4 linked regions of the Drosophila melanogaster genome follow. The protein of the gene in region 2 interacts with the protein of the main gene of each other region in a pairwise test. Each region holds a gene or a part of one and is shown on either strand. Other genes may lie near its edges.

Region 1 (4,305 bases), on a different chromosome or scaffold from region 2:
ATCTGCCTGCATCGGTTAACCACCATTGGCTCCGGCACAATCTTCTCCGTGAACACAACGCGTTTCTTGCAGATCATGCGTGGTGGTTGCTGCACGGTGATGCATTTGGGGAAGGGTGGTGGAATACGTGGAGCACATTGTGGCAAGGCCTCCAATTGGGCGGCATTGTAGCACTTGGGTGAGCACTCGAAGGGACCGCAGCAGGGATCGCATGGACTACAAGGACCGCACGGAGAGCACATTTTAAGTTTCGACTAGAATAAACCGAAAGAGTAAAAAGTTAATTTTTGTTTTTTGTTTCTTATAAAATTTGATCAGAGAAATTTAGAAGTGTATCGAAGCGAAACCGGATTCAAAATGCGAGCTAAGCCTGAGTAACGAACATAGGTAGATTGACAAGCAGAGGCAAGGCCTACTATTTGACAAAAATTTGGTAGAAAATTTTATCTGGATAGAAACCATTGCATAACCTGTCAAAAGAAATTGAAAAAACCTTATATATGCATAAATCCGATTTTTATTTACAGCCAATGAGTCGTCCATGCGTTGACAAAGTATAGAGAACTGTAGACTTTTTTGGTGGTGTTTGAGCAGAACGGCGAGAATACACTATGGCAATCTGTATTGGTGATAGACAAGTTGGTCCACTGGGCACCGGTTTCTGACAACAATCCAGGCAGCACAACGATGATGTTAACAGGGGCCGCTGGGTCCACAAGGCACTTGAGGACCGCAAGGACCAACTGGGCCGCAGTGGGTATTCCAGGGAGTTGGGGCGCACGGGTAGCAGGGGCCGCACTCGGGTGACTCGTACGGACACGGGGGCGAACAGGGTCCGCAGGGTCCGCAAGGACCGCAAGGACTATTGCCGAGCGGTCCACATGGCCCGCATGGAGCACAGGGTCCACACGGAGCCGGGACAAACGGACCCGACGGCATTGTGAGGCCGCAGGGCCCGCAATTGGGCACGGCGCACGGTCCACCCGGACCGCATCTCGGCCCACAGGGTCCGCACGGGCCGGGTCCGCAGGGACCACATCGCGGACCGCAGGGTCCGCATCCTGGACCGCAAGGTCCACAGGGTCCGCACCTACCCTCGGCAACGGGATACTGGTTTGTGGAGAAGCAGGGCAGCGGACAGCAGGGTCCTCCAGGAGCACATGGTCCAATGGGGCAGGGTGGGCACGCTGCACTGGGCTTGTAGTTGATGGGTCCATTTGGATAGCAGCAGTACTCCCTTGGCGGCGGAATGTCGATGGTCTGTGGCTTCGGCTGGCACAGGATCGACTGACACACCTCCCGGGGTTCGCAGACGCGCTTGGGATAGCACACCACATAGGGATCGGGGATCATCGAGGGGTAGTAGATTACTCTGGGTTCTCGCACCATCTGCGACACCCAAATCAGCTTGGGCACCTTGATCACCCGCGTGGCATCAACGACCTTTGGAATGGTAATCTGTCTGCATCGGTTAACCACCATTGGCTCCGGCACAATCTTCTCCGTGAACACCACGCGTTTCTTGCAGATCATGCGTGGTGGTTGCTGCACGGTGATGCATTTGGGGAAGGGAGGTGGAATACGTGGAGCACATTGTGGCAAGGCCTCCAATTGGGCGGCATTATAGCACTTGGGTGAGCACTCGAAGGGACCGCAGCAGGGATCGCATGGACTACAAGGACCGCACGGAGAGCACATGTTTTCGACTTAAGTTTTCCAAAATAAAATTTCTAGAAAAATATTATACTTTATTTTTGTTACAAATTTTTACTGTTCAATTTGGAAGTTATTCGGAGCGAAACAGGAAACTGAATGAGATATAACAGTAGGACGACAGCATTGCACAATAATCCAGGCCCACTTCGATCGAAATTTGAAAAACCGAGCTCTACGATCACACCCTAGTGTAGTGTTTTTGTTGTGCAGGTAAGGTGAAAATCGCTTTGAGCTTTGAATGGAAATATATGCTTACAATACATAAATCTGGTGGATTCGATTGCTTAACCGATTGCAATGAAAAATCACAGAACGCTGCTTGAATGGAATGCATTTTGCAAACCGGATTCCATCTTCACATGACGTATGCGCGACGTATCTGCATATATTTCAACAATATGGCATCTGCCGTTGAGTGGGTTTAAGCCTTTAATATGCTAGCGCCTTTATGTAGGCAGGCCGCTTTTTTCGGACCGGCCGAAAGCCAACTTGGAAAAAACCTACAACGAATTACAGAAAAACGTCGGAAAACACTCTGGCAGCGCCCGGCCTATTGAATATACATATATGGGTTTGTTTTTGCCCCAGTGCCTGGACATGTCAGCGCCGAAAAAAAAGCGTTTTGGTCGGTATGGTAGTTGGTAGTTGGATGGCATATCCTGAAAGCTTTAGTAGGTGGGGGGGGGGGGGGGTTGCTGGGTGGATGGATGGGCGTTGCAATCGGCGCTTTGTGCATGCCACAGCCATGACGACACTGAACAATTGCGCATTCACAAAAAACTACAACAAAGAGCGTGGTCACAGCGGACCATTGATGTTGACAAAGGCTTTTGCATGCGATTCAGGTGAATTCTAAAATATTTGCTCCATTTTAAATGCCAAAAGCGAGGGGCAAACGCTACAATATGTGCTCGGAATAAGAAACGTTCTGGTATTCAAACAATAAATATAATACGTTTTAATATTTTCTTAATAACACACGACTTTTATTAATTCTACAAAATTTCATTTCCTCGAATTGATAGTCACATTAGTGATAGCTAAGAAATCAAGCGATATTTTAGATGGCCTTTGCTCTTCAGAATTAGTTGCTGTCCAATAGTTCCGGTTATTTAAATTAGGAAATTTAATCAAGTTGCTTCCAGGAAGTTGAGATACAATAAATGTCTAAATTAAACCAATTTAAAGAGCAACATTGGTTCAATCGATTTGAACTCGGGCGTTTCCCAAGAAAACCGTCCACTTCTTTGGCCTGCAATAACACGCCGTTGGCTTATGGTCGTAATCATGCAAGAAAAACATCAACTTCTTGGACTCGAGTTGCCCTGGAGCGCTTATCGAGCGACAGGCTGATGGTGCCCGACCAAGATTCTAGCCACAGACAAAGCGCCTGCTAATCCCACAATTTCCAGAGCCCAAAGAGCCGGCCTAATCACAGACCCACCACTTGGCATCACAGTGCCACCGAAATTGTCAGCTAATAATGCAAACAATAACAGGCAACAGTCCGAAGAAATGGCGCACATTTCGCATAATTATGGACGGGGCCTTCCCCGAAACCCGGTCGAGATGGCCCGGCTAAGGCGGCGCAATTAGCGGACTTAGTTCGGGACTAGGCCCAAAACAATGTTGGGCTGGGAAATGGGAAAATAAGCACAGATTGCCCATAAATTGGCACCCACAATGCCTGCTGGAGTCAAGATAGAGGCGCATTTGTCGAATAATTTAGGCACTGTGTAGAAATGTTTGTAGCTCAATGAAAGGTTTTATTTTTAAGTTGTAGGTATTCCATTTATTTTCATAAATAACTTTAATAGTTCCCAATAAACTGATGGACCTCCTGAAACACACACACATTTAGTTCTTATTGTTTGCTCACATTCTTTGCGGTACTTTGACGTTGATAAGTATTCTGATTTATTGACAAACAAACTGTGAGTGTGCGGGTATTGCGGCGGCCTTTATTTAAATTTATATATTTATTTATGGGCTGCGCACAGCATATATATATTCACAGACATATACGCTGATGGATCGTTGTTCTATCGGAGTCGGGACTTAACCTACTGAAGCGCAGACGTGAATAATATTATTGTATTTTAAATTATTAGCGGTTCGAAATCTTAACTCCATTTATATACATAAATATACATACAAGTTAAATGAGAAATTTAATGACATAACACTTTTAATAAGGTCTGAGAATCAATTCAAATATTTGCCATAATTTTAAATGGGTTAATCATATTTTTCGGCTCCCGCTTTTTTACGCATTTGCTTCGATGCATTTCCGTTTGATTTCAATAATTTTAACTTCCGGCACAAACCGGAAATGACAAATAAAACGCAATGCCATTCAAATACACTGAGAAATAAGAAGTAGCATTTTTTTTAACTTGAATAATTGGTAATATATATTTATACTCTCAAAATTGATGTTAAATGTACGACTTTTAAAAGTGTAATAAAAGTAGGTATGAGTAGGTATTCTTTGGGACAAATAAAAAACATGAACAGTATATTAAAATTCATAGCTGCAGGTAAAATATTTTTTTCACGATTATTTCTACTTTGATGTTTGCTTAACTT
Region 2 (8,775 bases):
CACTCTGCTGGGGCTCTCGAGAAGCAATTCCTGAGCCATCGGATCGCCGGACGCCGACTGTCGTGGACGGAGCAGTCGCTGGAGCGCATTCGGCACACTAAACTGCTGAGCCGCGAACGAGGACGTGGCGCTGGTGGTGGTGAATGTGTCGTTGCTGCCGCGGCTGGACACCGTTCCCGTTTCCGTGGTGAAGCCGACTCCCGCCTCGGCGCGTTCGTGCTCCAGGAACGCTTTGGTGCCGCCGAGCGTCGCCAGCGGATTCTGGAAATGCATGTTAATGTTGAGATCCGTGTGGCCGCGCTGCCGGTACTGATAGTACATGTACCCGAGTCCGGCGATCAGTGATCCGGCGGCTAGGACGAACAGTGCCATCAGCCAGTGAAAGTGACCGTTCTGCTCGTGTTCATGTTCCAATTCCAGGCTGTTGACCGCACCCAACACGGCCACCTCATTGCCAGAGCCATGGGGACACCGTTCGCCTTCGGCCACCAGACGATTGCCACACATGCATTCGTAACCGTAGTCCGCCTGCAGGCACAGTCCATGGCAGTGGGCATGGGCGCATGGATGCGACGCCTTCTGCGGCTGACGCGACCTGCCCGCCACCACAATGTCCTGGGCGTTCAGCACGTTAATGCTGATCTTGTGACAGATGCGGGATCCGTACAGTGCGCACTGCACCGCCTCCACGGAGCCCAGGTTCACGATGAACGCATTATTTTCGTACACACTCAGCCCAGATGGATGCATCAGAGCGTTGGACTTTTGCAGCATTATCTCCGGTCGACGCATGGGACCCGTTTTAAGCCTATAGCTAATCCTCTCCAGCGTGCGCATATGCTGGTCCACAAAGTACAATAGCTGCTGATGCGGATCGGTGGTCAGGGCGGTCATGAAGCTTTCGCTTCGCTGCAGCAGCATATCCCTGCGACTGCCGTCCAGTCGAGCCATGTGAATCTCCGAGCTCGTCTGGCCATAGCCCTCGGTGCGTATGACTATGTAGAAGATCCGGGCGTGATAGCCATCCACAGCCAAATGCTTAACGTGCCTGGGACTCTTCACGTGCACAATGCGGCCGCACATGCGTCCCACGAAACTGCACGCTTGGATCTCCTGCGCTCCACTGAGCACATAAACATTTCCGGTGACCCAATCCACGGAGAGTTTCGTCGGTGCGGGCAGACCCAGAGCCCGCACAATCACCTTCGTTTGCAGATCGATCTGATAGACGATGCCCTCGTCCTCGGCGGAAAAGTAACCCATTTGCCGGTGCATGGCCAGATCGAAACCGGTGATCCTCGAATCATTCGCCGACCAGGCCACATTGAGCATAACGGGCTGTTCGCTTAGGTTTCGCACTTCGTTGAAGCTGCTGAAGAGCAGAGTGGCGCCAGACTGCAGGCTCTTGCAGCTAACGCGATCCTGGCGCAGCATAAAGTCCGCATGGCACTGGCACTGATAGCCGCCGAGGGTATTCTCGCATAGCTGAGCGCATGGCTGCTGCTCCTGGCACTCGTCAATGTCTAAACAGCTCTTCTGATCCGCGTCCAGGCGATAGCCATCGAAGCAGGAGCACACGGCGCCGGCTGGTGTGGCGCGGCACTTGTGCTGGCACACCTGGCGACCCGATGCCGAACGGCAGGCGGTGGCGCACTTGGGTCCCTCGTCGTGGCCGTTGGTACAGTCCGGGAAATTGTTGCATACCCGCGACAAGTCCACGCACTCGCCGTCTTGACAATCGAAGAGATGTGGCCGACAGGATCGGCTCGAGGTGCTCCACGGCTGAATTTGGCTCTGATTGTGATGGCCCTTTTCCAGTTCGCAGCTCAACTCGTCACTGCCGTCGCCGCAGTCCTTCTGGCCATCGCAGCGGAACTCCCGCCGGATGCACTCTCGACCGGAGCGGCACTTGAACTCATATATGCTGCACACATCACCGCAATCGGCCTCATCCTCGCCGCGCGGACACTCGGTGGTGCCATTGCAGCGAACCGTAGACGGCAGACAGATCTTGAGATTGCTCGTGCATTGGTATTGATCTTCCGCGCAGGATATGTTCATCGTGGATGAGTCCGTGCCGCAATTCAGTTCGTCGGACTTATCGCCACAGTCGTTGTGGCCATCGCACACCAGACTCCGGTCCAGACACTGACCCAACAGACAGCGCTGCATGTCCGGCGGACAGCTGCGATGGACACACTTGTCGTGCTCGTCGGATCCGTCGCTACAATCGATCCGCCCGTCGCACTCCCAGCTGCCCGCTATGCAGGATCCGCTGCCGCACTGGAACATTCCCGGTTCGCATCGCGATGTCGCCTCGCACAGCAATTCGTCGGAATTATCGCCGCAATCATTGGTTCCATCGCACACCAGGCTCGAGTCCACGCACTTTCCATTGTCGCACCCGTGCTGATGGACATGGCACTTCTTGCTCTTGTCTGTGGAGTAGAGAGAGTATTCAAATTCAAATTATCCACCAAGTGCAGCTCGTTTCGCTTACCGAACTTCTCGCAGTGCTGCTCATCCGAATGGTCGTGGCAATCCTTGCGATTGTCGCATCGCCGCTCCTTGTCGACGCACTGCTCCCCGCTGTGGCAGGCGAATTGGTTGGGCGAGCACAGAACCTTTGGCTTGCGCCGATGCTCCTCGTCGCAGTTCATCTCATCCGAATTGTCCACGCAATCGCGTCGTCCGTTGCAACGGTGATTCATTGTGAGGCACTCGCCACTGTGGCAACGGAACTCACAGTCCAGAGCCTCCACGCAGGTGCGGTTACCCGCATCCCGGTAAACGAATCCGGCCGGACATAGACAGATCGAGTGGTAGGGTCCCTCGCCCACACAGATGTGCGAACAGCCGCCATTCTGCTGCTGGCAGGGATGCGATTCCTGGCCGACGGGTGAGCTGGCGGCCAGCGGAATTCCATTGGGCGTGGCCACAGGCACGTACGGCATAATGGCGGCCGGATCGTCCTTCTCCATTATATCGATCACCTTTCGCGGCCCCATATTGCTCTTGTGCGTCCAGTAAATCCTTGGCGTACCCAATTCATTCCAAAACAGATCGTGATGCACCATGGCCAGGCTATAGGGACGCCTAAGCTTGCCCCGAAAGATTTGGCTGTGCGGCACCCTGTAATTCGAGTAGCTAATCCTGCCCAGATCGCTGTCTGACCAAAAGATCGTTTGGGTCTCGTAATCGGTGACCAGCTTGATATCATCATCGCCCAGATCGTCCTCGAATACATGCACCTGTTCGCCCTTGCCGCTCAGCGGTATCTTGTCAATGTGGCTGTGCCGCTTGGCCTTGAGCACAACATACAGATAGCCCTCCGCGGGCATAACAGTGAGTCCAATTGGCACCTCCTGGCCCGGAAAGAAGCGGATCAGCGCACGATGGCGCGTCTGCAGTGAGAGCACCTCAATCACAGCCCGCTCCGTATCCGCCCAGTATAGATTCCTGCTCAAATGATCGAAGGCCAGGGCACTCACATTGCCCAAATTGGAGCGGACCAGGACGTTGCTCTCGTGCGACTCTGGCTGAAACTCCAGGATCAGTCGCTGGTCATTGTCCGCTATTATCAGGCTGCCATTGATGCGATTGTACACCATTTCGTTGATCAAGCAGGGCAGCGTGTATGACTTGCTCACCTGATGGCGCCCAAAGGCGGTGTGCTCGATCTCGAGCAGCACCTGACCGAGGCCAATGAACAATCGTTGGCGCTTCTCCATTAGCATGCAGCGCCGATGATCCGGCGCCAGCCGCATGCCATCCGGACAGGCGCAGCTGTGACCACCGATTTCGGGTTCGGCCAGCAGGCATAGGTGCGAGCATGTGGCATTTTCGCAACCATGCGGCGAGTTGGGCTGCTTGGCCGGATGATAGATGTGTACGGCGTAAATGGTACGATCCTTGGCCAGGATGCGATGATCCTTGCCGGAGAATTTGTGACACGCATGCACACTCTTCGTTGCCCAATCTGACCAGTACAGCTGATCCTCGAATATGGCCAGGCCATAGGGATGCTTCAGCATGCCGTCCAGCACCGTGCGCCGACCAGTGCCGTCGGGTCGAACCGTTTGCACGCTGCCCAACTTGGCATCCACCCAGTAGATCCTTTGCTGGTGCATGTCCAGCGCAATACCATTGGGCCATTCGATATTATCGCTGACAATCGGTCGCGACCGACTGCCGTCCATGGATGCGCGCCCTATCATGGGCTTCTCACCCCAATCCGTCCAGAACATCAAGCCCTTCTGGGGCCAAACAGCCAGTGATCGCGGCTGGTGAACATCCTGGGTGACCAGAACGGCACAGTTTAGTCCATCGTTCGAGCACACGGCTATGTGCCGCATTATGTTGTCCGAGAAGTAAATGTTCTGCGTCAGCCAATCGACAGCCAGGTCCTCTGGTGCATCCAGGCCGGAGGTCAGCAAAATTTCCGCATTCGAACCGTCTCCGTTAGCCTTCACAATGCTCTCCGCTTCGTTCTGGATGTTGGTCCAATAGATGTGGCTGCCATCGTAGGCCACGCCAATGACCTTGCTCAGATTCCCGGCCACCTGGTAGACATGATTTCGTACGTTATCCTCGCGCAGATGCATTCCCATAATCGTCATCTGGGTGGTGTACAGCAGAAGGGGCTGCTGTTCCTTAGAGCCGTAAACGACTGCGCGACACGTACGATTATCCTTGTCCAGCAGATAGCCCGCATCACAGACGCATCGATATCCGCCCGATGTGTTCTCGCATCCCTGGCTGCACAAATCATCTTGCTCCTTGCACTCGTCAACGTCCTCGCACTTGTCCTCGAATTTAGCCAGCCGGAATCCCTTTGGGCAGAAGCACTCGGCTCCGCTGGCAGGCATCATGTGGCATTTGGCTCCCAGCGCACACTTCTTCGCATCGCAGTCCGGCTTGGAGTGACAGAGGTCGGTCTCATCGCTGCCGTCGGAACAGTCGCTGTGCCCATCGCACACTTCGCTCAGGGTCAGACAGGTTTCTCGGTTCCGGCATAGGAATTTCCCCTTTTGTGGCTCACATAGATTTACTGAAATGATGCCGAGTCGCATGTTTCAAGAGCATCAGGCTTGGAGTATCCAACAAAGAATTTTAACTTACAGCATCCTCGTTCGTCGCTTCCATCGCCGCAATCGTCAACGCCATCGCAGACCCACTGCTTCCGGCGCAAGCACCGTCCGTTGGCGCACAGGTGACCCTCGCCGGGGCAGGTGATCTCCGCCTGCTTGCAGCCAGCCACCTCGTCCGACTTGTCCGTGCAATCCGGCCGGCCGTCGCACATGAAATCAATGGGAATGCAGGTGCGATCCTGCTGGCACATGAACTCGTACTTGCTGCAGCTGCGCATGCGATGAGCGGTGTCACCGAATCGGAATCCTGGCCGCACCGGGCAGTTGAGCTCATCCTCGCCGCCGGGACAGTTGTCGATGCCGTTGCACATTAGTTCCGCTGCCAGGCAGGCTCCGTGTGGCTGGGCACACGGGAACCAATGTGGCGGTCGGCACAGTCGGTAGTCTGGATATCCGGATTGGAATGAAGATTATATGTTATTCAACTACATATAAGATTGTCACAACACGTTTATATATTATTGGATATATTAGTCTCACTAGTAAATTCATTGGAATATGGGGATGTGGCATCTCTAGATAGGATTCCCTAACCATCAAAATTATAGCTAAAGAAATCTGGTTAATCCGACTCCATAGTAGCTATGCCCTCTCCATTTAAAGCCACCCCCTGCTGAACGACGGCATTGATTCCACCCATGCTCACCGCAGTCCAATTCATCCGAGCTGTCCTTGCAGTCTCCGCGTCCGTCGCACATCTTCGCCTGTAAGATGCAGCCGCCGTCTCTGCACTGGAATTGTCCCGCATCGCACCGCGTGTCCGCTGATCCCGGCGTGCCGGCAGCAGTACCACCGCAAAGTCCCACGAGCAGGAGCAGCGAGATTGCCACGTGGCGTCCATTGATGATCAGATGTGTTCGCTGGCAATTTCCGTATCGACTGGACGTTGAGCCACCACTGGATGGGTGAGCGCGTGTCTGCGAGGTTAGGTTGAATCCTCGCCGGCTGGCGGTCATCTTCGGGCTCTCTACCCGGATCCTTTGCTCGCTGGGGTGCACCTGGTGCTCGGCCTGGCACATTTAACACGAAACACACACAATTTGAACGATGATTAACACGCAGGACTGGTTAATTGAAATTAAAACGGGAATGGGAAACAGAAAGTATGGCTTGCAGCTTGGAAAGCTGAAAGCGAATTGAACGAGGAAAACCGTTCGGTTCCAACGGAACACGTCGATCAGGGCAGGGCTTTGGAAAAGCACCGTTATTTCGGAGTGACCAGATGCCAGATGGTTGTACACCGATATAAACCGTTTGGTAATAGTTTAATTGGTATTTAAAACTACATATTTTAAGGCGCCAAATTTGAAAACAGTTTCATCATAAAAGCTCACAGCAATTTATTCCAGTGCATGCCAAATACCGTACCTGGGTGGCAACGCCGTTCGACATCAATTTAAAAACTTGACCATCAAATATCGCAAAAGGATTGCACCAAATACAGCGTGATTAATTGCCCGTTCATGATGTCAGCGGTGTCTGGAAATTTACAAAAAAAAAAACCAAATTATTGCAGTGGGAAACGACGGGATCCGAAACAGAAACCGACACAGAAACATTTACCCATTTGGATGACCCATTGCAACAATTAATAACGGTTATGCCCGCAAGATTTATGAGCAACGACAGATAAACAAGACCGAAGCGTTTTGGCCGCCTCAACCGCCAAATGTCATAAAAAATCAGAGACAAAACCCGAATTGCTGAATTGCTTAGAAACCAGAAGAGCACTCAGAAATTTGTATAATTAAGGAAAAGAGCGAGTGCGAGTTCGAATTCACACGCGGTAGGGGGCGTGCCGCGCTCGTAAAAACAAAACTAACGCGAAGCCAAACCCAAATCTGGGAATACACTGGAAGAAATTAGCAGGTGCAGCTTATATTACATTTAATTTTCTTTACTAAGAATTCGAACATACATATATTTCTGAACAATTATGGAACTAGGGCAACTTACCCATATTACTTTAATGCAGTCGAAATTAAATATTTACAACTTCAATCAAATTTTACTTATTGTATTGTATCATTGTCTTGGTATATTTATTCCAATAAGAAAAAATACTGGCTTAGCACTAGATTTTCTCCGTGTGCATGGACTCCATAAGGCGAACGTGGTTTTTCCACGTCGAGACAATTTGTTGCTTCTATGCCGGATGAGTCGTGGGACATCGAACGAGCCGCGATGACAAGCGAACATGACGAACTTCTCGGAGCATCTGGGACTTCTATGGAGTCTATGGAGACCACTCTGCCGTCCGGTTGCCTGCCACCGCCTGGCCCGTTGAGTAATGGGCCCCGTCCGCCGTCGACATGTCCGTCGCGCCAAGGCGTTAAAATCATCAGTTGTAAAGTATCTGGGGTGCACATCGCGATTTGCGCTTGCCAGCGTATAAAAACTACACTCGGTCGATGGATCAGCAACAGTTGATCGCCAGCGTCCATCCGGTGCATACACAGCTACAGGAATTCCAATCCTCTCAAGCAACACACCGAGCTTACCCAAAAGTTCCCGCAATGGTAAGGGCTCAAGACGAGCGTGATTGAATGCTCCTCCTTGCAAGCAATTTTTTAAATTTTAACATATATTTAGAACAAAGCCTCTTTAAAGCACAACGTTGCATACTTTAAGTGACTCCCAGTGCTTTTTAATCCCACGATTCCTTGTCCGCAGAACTCCGTAACCGTACTCGCCATCTTCGCCGCCTCCTTGGCCTTCTGTGCCGGCGATGTGTCGCATTTGTCGCGCAGCTATCTGCCTCCTTTGAGCGGCGGCTACTCCGGCTACTCCTCCGGTTACTCCTCGTATCCATCGTACTCGAGCGGATCTGGTTATTACTCGGGTGGCGGCAGCTACGCCTCGCCAATCATCTCGTCCAGCTACAAGAACTACGCGGTGCCGCAGTACACAACCTATGCCACGCCATCGCGCACCTATTTGCCCGCGAATGCGGGCTACACCGGCTACTCCGGCTACTCGGGCTACTCCGGCTACAATGGATTGGACACCAAGTACGGCAGCAATGGTGGCTACGTCTACTAGGCGCTAATCAAGTTTTCGGGAGGCCAGCAACAATGGAGCCAGCAGACAAACTATATATTCCTCTAATCTTTTTTTTTTTTCTTGGCTAAGCAATTTTCTTTAATGGCTACTAAATATTTTCGAATACTTAATAACGAATAACGAATTTCATGGCGTATTTATTTGGAGAGGGAGTTGCTTATTTTCCAAACCACTCATTGAAGATCTTAATTTTTTGACATTTTTGGGGCGAAGCGAGTGGTTCTATAAATACAGGATACAGATCCTGAAGAAACTTTTTCGAAAATTTTGGTATTCTTACCTGAGTATTAAAAAAAATGTATTCAAAAGTGATTGAAAAGAATTGCTAATATCAAGTAACTGATAGTCGAGACTCTCGACTTCATCATTCCTGCTTGATTTTAGTTATGAAAATCTGTCAGATACTTGTAATACCCATTAGTGTTAAAGTATGCTAAGGTATGCTAGACTCGTTGATAAGTATGCAACTGAGCAGAGAAAATCGTTTCCAAGCGTAAGATCTAAATTTATATAGCGCTTCAATATCTAAGTAAAGGGTAGCTAATAGTCGCGACACTTGACT
Region 3 (4,279 bases), on a different chromosome or scaffold from region 2:
CAGCGTTACATACCTTCAGCCCTTAACATTACAGGGTAACCATTACGTTTGCTGCATCCTCCTGCGTTGACGTTATCAGAACTCTGGCAGTTACTGGCCGCAGACGCAGCGATATCGCTCCATGGCAGGAGCATTGCCTATCGCAGTGGCCAACATCGAAATCGAAACTATGGCAGATCAATTCGAATAACAATAATTTCTTCCGGTCGAATGGCAGCGCCAGAACAATCAGACAGCGGCAGAGATGCAGATATATACGACTGCGAAAGTATCTGCATCTGCAACGGCAATCGCAACTGCAACTGCATTGTTGCTGTTTGCTGCATTTTAAACAGGATGCGCATAAGTATACGAGGATTGACAGGATGTGCGGGCCATGCACACGCATTTTGTTTGCCGCTGACGCTGCCACGCCCACTCCTCCACTGTCATTTTAAATCGTGGGGCGGCATACACATGTTCAATGGGCGGCTCACGCCCCACCCAGCAGCACTAATTTGTATTGTATTCGCTGTTAATGAATTTCATATATTGTATTTATGCGAATGCACTTAATGCGAAAATTATTTGCGTTGACATTGCTGTGGATCGCAGGGGATTTTTAAACGGCTGACGATATTGAGAGACGCGCTTAAAAAAAGCTGGCGATAAAGTGATATTAGATGTTATGATATTAAAACCAGATAATTAAAGTTGTTTTTTTTTCTATGCCTATTTATATTAACGATTTATTTAAATAACCTTTATGTTTTGGTTATGACATTCTTTGTAACCGAAGTATCCGGATCAATGAGTTTTGCTCCATTCCTCACGCTCTTCGCGCTCCTTTTGCACTTCGTTAAGATAGGGCTCCAAGTACTTGATGTCCTCCTCGTACTTGGTCCACTGCTCCTTGGGCAGGATCGTCTTGGTCATGGAAAGGTGCAGTGCTCGAAGAATGCGATAGTTGCGTTCATCGTACAGTTTGCGGGGCAGACGACGCACTGCTTCTGCCACATCCTCATTCTCGTACAGACAGTCATCGCGATACAGGCCGTATTGGTTGAATCCAGACATGTTGTAGGCCCACTTTCCCAACTTGGAGAAAACCGCTGGGCCCACTCTAGCCACATATTTCGACATGATTTAAGATCAAGAATAATTTGGATATGACTACTACAACTATTACCAGTAAGTCCACAAGCTGACAGGTGACTCAGGGCTACACTGGTGAACTAACAAGTATGAGTTTTTAAAATAATAATAAAATAAAATAAAAATTCCCCAACAGGCCTTTCGAAACAAAAATCCCGAATCTCAACTTTCGTTATCTGAAAAATACATAGCATATTAAATGCAATGAAACAACGAAATTTCCGAAACAAATGCCCGAAGAAAAAATGTGGTTTAAATATTGTATCAATGCACTTCTTTAATTTACAAAACTTGCAAAGTTAATTTGGACTGTCATATAATTGAGCGCGGATGTGGACTTCCATAACGCGGAGTTGTCACAAAATGTTTTTGGCAGACGTCAAGTAGATCTTTCCAGCTGTTTTACAGATCAGCATGGTCCGCAAGGACCGAAGCCACAAGGGCCAGGTCCGCAGGGTCCACACGGTCCGCATGGACCACAGCCTGGTCCGAAGGGTCCGCAGGGTCCACAGGGTCCGCAAGGACCGCATCCTGGTCCCCAAGGTCCGCAGGGTCCGCAAGGTCCGCATCCGGGTCCACAGGGTCCACATGGTCCGCATCTGCCCTCAGCCACTGGGTATTGGTTTGTGGAGAAGCAGGGCAGCGGACAGCAGGGTCCTCCAGGAGCACATGGTCCAATGGGGCAGGGTGGGCACGCTGCACTGGGCTTGTAGTTGATGGGTCCATTTGGATAGCAGCAGTACTCCCTCGGCGGCGGAATGTCGATGGTTTGGGGCTTCGGCTGGCAGAGGATCGACTGACACACCTCACGTGGTTCGCAGACGCGCTTGGGATAGCACACCACATAGGGGTCGGGGATCATCGAGGGGTAGTAGATTACTCTGGGTTCTCGCACCATCTGCGACACCCAAATCAGCTTGGGCACCTTGATCACCCGCGTGGCATCAACGACCTTTGGAATGGTGATCTGCCTGCATCGGTTAACCACCATTGGCTCCGGCACAATCTTCTCCGTGAACACAACGCGTTTCTTGCAGATCATGCGTGGTGGTTGCTGCACGGTGATGCATTTGGGGAAGGGTGGTGGAATACGTGGAGCACATTGTGGCAAGGCCTCCAATTGGGCGGCATTGTAGCACTTGGGTGAGCACTCGAAGGGACCGCAGCAGGGATCGCATGGACTACAAGGACCGCACGGAGAGCACATTTTAAGTTTCGACTAGAATAAACCGAAAGAGTAAAAAGTTAATTTTTGTTTTTTGTTTCTTATAAAATTTGATCAGAGAAATTTAGAAGTGTATCGAAGCGAAACCGGATTCAAAATGCGAGCTAAGCCTGAGTAACGAACATAGGTAGATTGACAAGCAGAGGCAAGGCCTACTATTTGACAAAAATTTGGTAGAAAATTTTATCTGGATAGAAACCATTGCATAACCTGTCAAAAGAAATTGAAAAAACCTTATATATGCATAAATCCGATTTTTATTTACAGCCAATGAGTCGTCCATGCGTTGACAAAGTATAGAGAACTGTAGACTTTTTTGGTGGTGTTTGAGCAGAACGGCGAGAATACACTATGGCAATCTGTATTGGTGATAGACAAGTTGGTCCACTGGGCACCGGTTTCTGACAACAATCCAGGCAGCACAACGATGATGTTAACAGGGGCCGCTGGGTCCACAAGGCACTTGAGGACCGCAAGGACCAACTGGGCCGCAGTGGGTATTCCAGGGAGTTGGGGCGCACGGGTAGCAGGGGCCGCACTCGGGTGACTCGTACGGACACGGGGGCGAACAGGGTCCGCAGGGTCCGCAAGGACCGCAAGGACTATTGCCGAGCGGTCCACATGGCCCGCATGGAGCACAGGGTCCACACGGAGCCGGGACAAACGGACCCGACGGCATTGTGAGGCCGCAGGGCCCGCAATTGGGCACGGCGCACGGTCCACCCGGACCGCATCTCGGCCCACAGGGTCCGCACGGGCCGGGTCCGCAGGGACCACATCGCGGACCGCAGGGTCCGCATCCTGGACCGCAAGGTCCACAGGGTCCGCACCTACCCTCGGCAACGGGATACTGGTTTGTGGAGAAGCAGGGCAGCGGACAGCAGGGTCCTCCAGGAGCACATGGTCCAATGGGGCAGGGTGGGCACGCTGCACTGGGCTTGTAGTTGATGGGTCCATTTGGATAGCAGCAGTACTCCCTTGGCGGCGGAATGTCGATGGTCTGTGGCTTCGGCTGGCACAGGATCGACTGACACACCTCCCGGGGTTCGCAGACGCGCTTGGGATAGCACACCACATAGGGATCGGGGATCATCGAGGGGTAGTAGATTACTCTGGGTTCTCGCACCATCTGCGACACCCAAATCAGCTTGGGCACCTTGATCACCCGCGTGGCATCAACGACCTTTGGAATGGTAATCTGTCTGCATCGGTTAACCACCATTGGCTCCGGCACAATCTTCTCCGTGAACACCACGCGTTTCTTGCAGATCATGCGTGGTGGTTGCTGCACGGTGATGCATTTGGGGAAGGGAGGTGGAATACGTGGAGCACATTGTGGCAAGGCCTCCAATTGGGCGGCATTATAGCACTTGGGTGAGCACTCGAAGGGACCGCAGCAGGGATCGCATGGACTACAAGGACCGCACGGAGAGCACATGTTTTCGACTTAAGTTTTCCAAAATAAAATTTCTAGAAAAATATTATACTTTATTTTTGTTACAAATTTTTACTGTTCAATTTGGAAGTTATTCGGAGCGAAACAGGAAACTGAATGAGATATAACAGTAGGACGACAGCATTGCACAATAATCCAGGCCCACTTCGATCGAAATTTGAAAAACCGAGCTCTACGATCACACCCTAGTGTAGTGTTTTTGTTGTGCAGGTAAGGTGAAAATCGCTTTGAGCTTTGAATGGAAATATATGCTTACAATACATAAATCTGGTGGATTCGATTGCTTAACCGATTGCAATGAAAAATCACAGAACGCTGCTTGAATGGAATGCATTTTGCAAACCGGATTCCATCTTCACATGACGTATGCGCGACGTATCTGCATATATTTCAACAATATGGCATCTGCCGTTGAGTGGGTTTAAGCCTTTAATATGCTAGCGCCTTTATGTAGGCAGGCCGCT
Region 4 (4,960 bases), on a different chromosome or scaffold from region 2:
AACTCGAGCGCTCAACCTGAACTGACGGACCAGGTAACGTTTACCATTCCTTAAGCACTTGGTGTCTCGCTGCTGCCAATGGGATCTTCGGCTACATCGCACTCGTAACCTGTTGCTGTCGTGCAAAGTGTTGCTGTTGCTGCTGCTGCTGCTGTTGCCGCTGCAGCAGATGTTGCTTTTGCTGCTGCTGCTGCTGCCGCTGTTGCTTCTATTGCTGCAGAGGATTGGGTTGTTCGCTGGCACTGTGGGTGCCGATCTGGATGCATGTGTATGCTCCGCAAGAAACAATCGAGGCAGAAACAAGCCAGGAACATCAGGGTATAGCACAGGCACACGAACAGCACAATTCCGACCAGGAATGTCAGGATTATTGTTAAAAACATTCTGATGCCACAGCTCAATAAATCAAACTAGCCATTCAATGTCTCATATACTTTTTAAAATTCGAGAATATAGTAAGATCAGACTCTAAACAGATTTAAGGTTTGTTAGGATATATTACGATCTCATTATCAAGTGGATCTTATGATTTAAATTATTAGGATATATGATTTAAATTATTAATGTAGCTAAGTAGTATTAATATAAAAGAAGACTAAGGAGGCTGCCATCTTAGACTTTAATGTTTGACTTTAAAAAGAAAAATGGTTTCAAGGCACTATACACATGGAATTTTGGCATGAACAGCATTTGGGATCACATCCTCTAGGCTCTAAACTTCTCCTTCTATGGCTATCACTGCCTGCTGAGTCATGGGTGATCCAACTGCCATTATTTGTCGGGGCTGAGGACGAGCCCGCGGTAAAGGTGGATCCAGATGAAGGGATCGCATTAGTGCCGAGCAGCACCCGCAGAAGATGAGGCAAATGCAGCAGACACAGCAGAAAATAATTGACGTAACTACAAGGATCGGAAACAATATTAGTCCAATGCCTCTTATCATGTTTCCAATAAATTTTTTCCGTCAAAATCTGTTTCAAATCTGTATCTGTTTGAAGTTAAAATATCAGATCATAAAGATGGCATGATGTTCACTGATCACTCCACATACACTTCATTGTGATCAAATCGGATGCCATCTGCCATTTTGTTTGCAACCAAAGCCAACTCATACATAATCTTGTTTAAATATTGAGATGAGAGAGGAGGAGGAACTGTTTTATTGTTAAATGATTTAATTGAACAAACTTCTGTGACTTATAGAACCTAATCTTTATTTTACAGGGAGTCCATGGACATTTGTGACAGAAAGATCTAAGAGGGTCAAAACAAATTATAAAGCTTATACATTTTTAAATCACTTAATATTTCAGATTTTTAGAGTCTAATTGTTAATAATAATGTGAAAAACTTAATATTAAATGGATATGACAATACTCGCGGGAAGGGGTTTCCATCTTCATACGAATCTGAAAGCATTGCAAACCGACTTATCGGTTAATTGGTTATCGATTAATGGCATTGCGCAATCGCGCATTCTGTAAATGCCCATCGCTCCATTTCTTTCACTTCGTCTGGCAATTAAAAGGCGCTTTTCATTTTCTTTTGGGAAAGTTATCAAGCTATATTCGTTTCAATTCGTTTCGGTTATTATCGAAAAATGAAGAAAACGCCGAAAGGCCACAGAAACTTTCATAGTGGTCGTAACTTTTTCCCCATCGGCCAAACGACATTTGAAGTCAATTGTCGTCGCGTCGTGCAGAAAAAGCGTTCGACCGTCGCTACGTATATAAATAAAATTAAATTACTACTAACAATTGAAACAAACGCACTGCCACAAAGAAAACGAAAGAAATATTGTTTGTCCCCCACGAAACATGAGACCCCCATGATCCCCCCACCTGCCCCATCCGCACATCTCCATCCTCGCATCACACGCTACGCATGCGCAGTGTCAACGCAACTTTTCAGCGAAAGTGACTGAACGAGTTCCAATTGTCCACGGCCGACGCTCCAAACGCCTTTATCGGTGGCCAACAATCAAGTGGCCTGCCGTAATATGTAGCTGCCAAAATAAATGAAAACGAAATGCCTGCGGACTGACTGCTGCCAAAAACCAGGCATGTTTTCCAAAAAGGTTACTAACTCTTTACGTCTAGACTTTAGACTGCTAGACTGCCCATATTAGCATAGGTAGCTTTCAAATTCTGCAGCTCATTCATTTTCTATTTCACCAAACTATCTTAACTATGATATAATGTCAATAGTATAAGTAACATATGGAGGATACTTACATTTACATTACATTTTAATAGTTTAACATCATCCTATAACACCTATTAGTTCTCAGTTTTATTTTCTAGCTTATTTTCTTTTAACACCATTTTAGAAAAGGCATACAAATATGCCAAATTTTCACTTTTTTAAAGACCTTTTAAGCATGTTCAGTTTGCTCTGATAATTGGTATACCAGAAGATTGGCATTCAAATTTAACGTTAAAACTACATATCTTAGATATGTTTTATTTATTAAGAGAATCCTAGCAACCTGTGACTGCCATGACAACCTAAAATAATAATTTAACTCAGTCCCCAGTCTTTCGTTAGTCGTCAGTCTTAGCAAAACAAGCCGGATAAAACGTGTTTTGAAATATCCGAAAAAATATTAAAATCAGTATAAAAACAAAATGGTAAACTTTGTGCACCCCGAGGAAATGTATCTCTTTGTGGAGAGCATTCGTCCATTTGAGGTGCGTGAGGTGGGCAGCCCGAAGTGGCTGGAGGTGCACGAGATGATCCTCGGGCTGAGCCAGCAGGCCGCCTTGGAGCTGTCCCAGAATCGCGAGGAGGAGGTGAAGGAGTTCCTCATCTCGCGCGACAAGCTACGCGTGCTGATCCACGAAGCCTATTGCGTAACGTTGTGGAAGACGCGTGTTCTGCCGCATCTGCTGGAGATTGATCCCAATCCGCAGGCCACGTTCCTTATCTACACGGTGCTATATCACGAGGCTGCTTTGGTAGCGCTTCTGGATGTGTGCCTCTACCATCCGAGTGGCTGTGAGACGCTGCAGGAGTCCGTGCTGGATTTGATTGACTATTGCGCCCAGGCCATTTCCCAGGTCATTGGCTTGGTTAGCATGGGTTACCACGAGAACGAGACAAAGCTGGACGTGGATGAGGCAGTGCTCACGGAGCTGGAGCGCCAGAAGCGCGACTTTATCTATAAGATTGGACTGCGCTGCATCTCAGTGCTGAACTACATAGCAGATAATGTGACATTGTTTCATCTAAGCGCCGCACGCCGTTTGCTGGTGACCCATGACATTCCGTGGCTCATGGCAGATGTGCTTAGCTTCCGGTGAGCAGCACGGATAAGTGAGTTTTTTTTTATATTTTACACATTTCTCCTCGTTTTAGTCCGTGGCAGAGAAAGACCAGCAAGGGCATTCAGAAGTTCATCGACGAGAAGTGGACCAATGTGGACGACGTCACCAAGATTGTCAAGCCAGAGGCGCAGGCCTGGTTTTGTGTGCGTCAGCTGCTCCTTAATCCTCAGATCATGGAGAACTATGCTTTCAACGAGGCACGCTGCAAGCAGTTACACAAGGTTAGTTGCCACCTACATATATCTATGATTAATGCGCTGACTTACCAAGCTGACTTCCTTAGCTTTTGGGTCTCATGCACGAGCCGTTGCTGGACCAGCTGCCGCCACTTATAGAGCTAAAGGTGTTCCTCAGCCGCCTGACGCTCAGCGGCAATACGGCCAAGACACAGCCGCTCTTGCTGGAGGACATTCCGCAGATCCAGGAGGAACTGCTCAAGGATGTCGAGGAAAATGGCGGCTTCTATCAGATTGCCCAGGATCAGGACTCGGTTTTCCTTAGCAAGAACAAGGAAAACATCTGCGCTTTGGCCACTCGCCTCAGCAAAGCCTACGGCACGGACTTGCTCTGTGAACTGGAGCAGAATATGGATGATCTCAAGATGGGCGAAGCAAAGGATGCCGGCGCTGGTGGCGATGGAGATACGGACCATACTTGCGCCACTTGCCAGGCGAAGGCCAAAAAGAAGTGTGCCTGCTGCAAGAAGGTGCACTACTGCTCCCGGTGGGTTGGACGCAACTTTTGCGGAGTTCGCTTCTTCTATAATATTTTTTCTTTCAGTGATTGTCAGCTCAAGGATTGGCCACAGCACAAGCTCGTCTGCCTTAAAACTTAATTGTGACCCAGCGTCTAGTATACAAAATAATTTTTTCAATATAATAGAACATTCCAAAAATGTAAAAAGGTCGACTTTCTTTTATTTTTTCATCTGGATTCAGGTTCAATACGTTTTATTTTCAATTAGCGAATAGCTTAAAAAGAACTTTCACGTAGTCTCTCATTCAGCAGGCAGTGCGCAGCTGTTTAGCTGTTCTGCCTGAGATGGTCCTTAACCACGTCCAAAGCGGGTGTCTCCTCACCGAAATCCTTGATCACGACCACGGAGCAGCCGCACACCTTGCGGGGCTTGCCCTCCTTGTCGATCTTGCACAGACCGGACCATTCGCCCAGCTTCTTGTGCGAGTCCACGCGGATAAGGGGGATCTGGTGCTCGTTGCACAGGGCGGTAACCAGCTTCTTGTAGTTGGGCTCGTCGAAGGACTCGGCTAGGATGCACAGAACAGCCTGACGCCTGTTGGTAAAACAATATATTGTAATTAGGAATGGTTTTTTTTCATACAATGCAACTCGATACGCTGTCATTTGCTCAGTAATTGGAAGGTTTTTAATCAATATAAATTCATAAACACGGACCAATTAATTTCATCACAGTCAGAACAGCAAAATCAAGATGATTTAATGTGGAAACACACTTGGGATTTATCTTTAATGCACTTAGTGGATTATTATAAATATCATTACGATTAATAAACGATTAAAAAATTCAAGGAGGAAATAAGATTCATTTCCTGAAAATAGGTTAAGTTGAATGAAGACCCACACTTTTTAAAACGTGGTCTATGTATTTCAAATGA

The links.
Region 1: the proteins of yl (region 2) and Mst98Ca interact in a two-hybrid assay, tested with the Drosophila melanogaster proteins (one large-scale study listed by BioGRID).
Region 3: the proteins of yl (region 2) and Mst98Cb interact in a two-hybrid assay, tested with the Drosophila melanogaster proteins (one large-scale study listed by BioGRID).
Region 4: the proteins of yl (region 2) and Zmynd10 interact in a two-hybrid assay, tested with the Drosophila melanogaster proteins (one large-scale study listed by BioGRID).

What each region holds. Positions count from the first base shown.
Region 1 is NT_033777.3:28,288,852-28,293,156, reverse strand, and holds Mst98Ca (Male-specific RNA 98Ca), read right to left. Parts: upstream 1,820-4,305; 5' UTR 1,699-1,819; coding exon 694-1,698; 3' UTR 501-693; downstream 1-500. Other genes in the region: Mst98Cb (Male-specific RNA 98Cb), read right to left, coding at 1-242.
Region 2 is NC_004354.4:14,190,773-14,199,547, reverse strand, and holds the start of yl (yolkless), read right to left. Parts: upstream 6,335-8,775; 5' UTR 6,170-6,334; coding exon 5,797-6,169; intron 5,536-5,796; coding exon 5,122-5,535; intron 5,051-5,121; coding exon 2,501-5,050; intron 2,439-2,500; coding exon 4-2,438; coding exon of another isoform or gene 1-3. Other genes in the region: CG13403 (uncharacterized protein), read left to right, coding at 7,562-7,669, 7,824-8,192. UniProt on the Drosophila melanogaster protein: Cell surface receptor involved in uptake of vitellogenins (yolk proteins) into developing oocytes by receptor-mediated endocytosis. May also mediate uptake of apolpp/apolipophorins and their incorporation into yolk granules.
Region 3 is NT_033777.3:28,290,977-28,295,255, reverse strand, and holds Mst98Cb (Male-specific RNA 98Cb), read right to left. Parts: upstream 2,459-4,279; 5' UTR 2,342-2,458; coding exon 1,544-2,341; 3' UTR 1,393-1,543; downstream 1-1,392. Other genes in the region: UQCR-14L (Ubiquinol-cytochrome c reductase 14 kDa subunit-like), read right to left, coding at 787-1,122; Mst98Ca (Male-specific RNA 98Ca), read right to left, coding at 2,793-3,797.
Region 4 is NT_037436.4:13,024,027-13,028,986, reverse strand, and holds Zmynd10 (zinc finger MYND-type containing 10), read left to right. Parts: upstream 1-2,549; 5' UTR 2,550-2,627; coding exon 2,628-3,298; intron 3,299-3,357; coding exon 3,358-3,547; intron 3,548-3,609; coding exon 3,610-4,049; intron 4,050-4,106; coding exon 4,107-4,161; 3' UTR 4,162-4,224; downstream 4,225-4,960. Other genes in the region: RpS12 (ribosomal protein S12), read right to left, coding at 4,350-4,617. UniProt on the Drosophila melanogaster protein: Plays a role in axonemal structure organization and motility. May be involved in axonemal pre-assembly of inner and outer dynein arms (IDA and ODA, respectively) for proper axoneme building for cilia motility.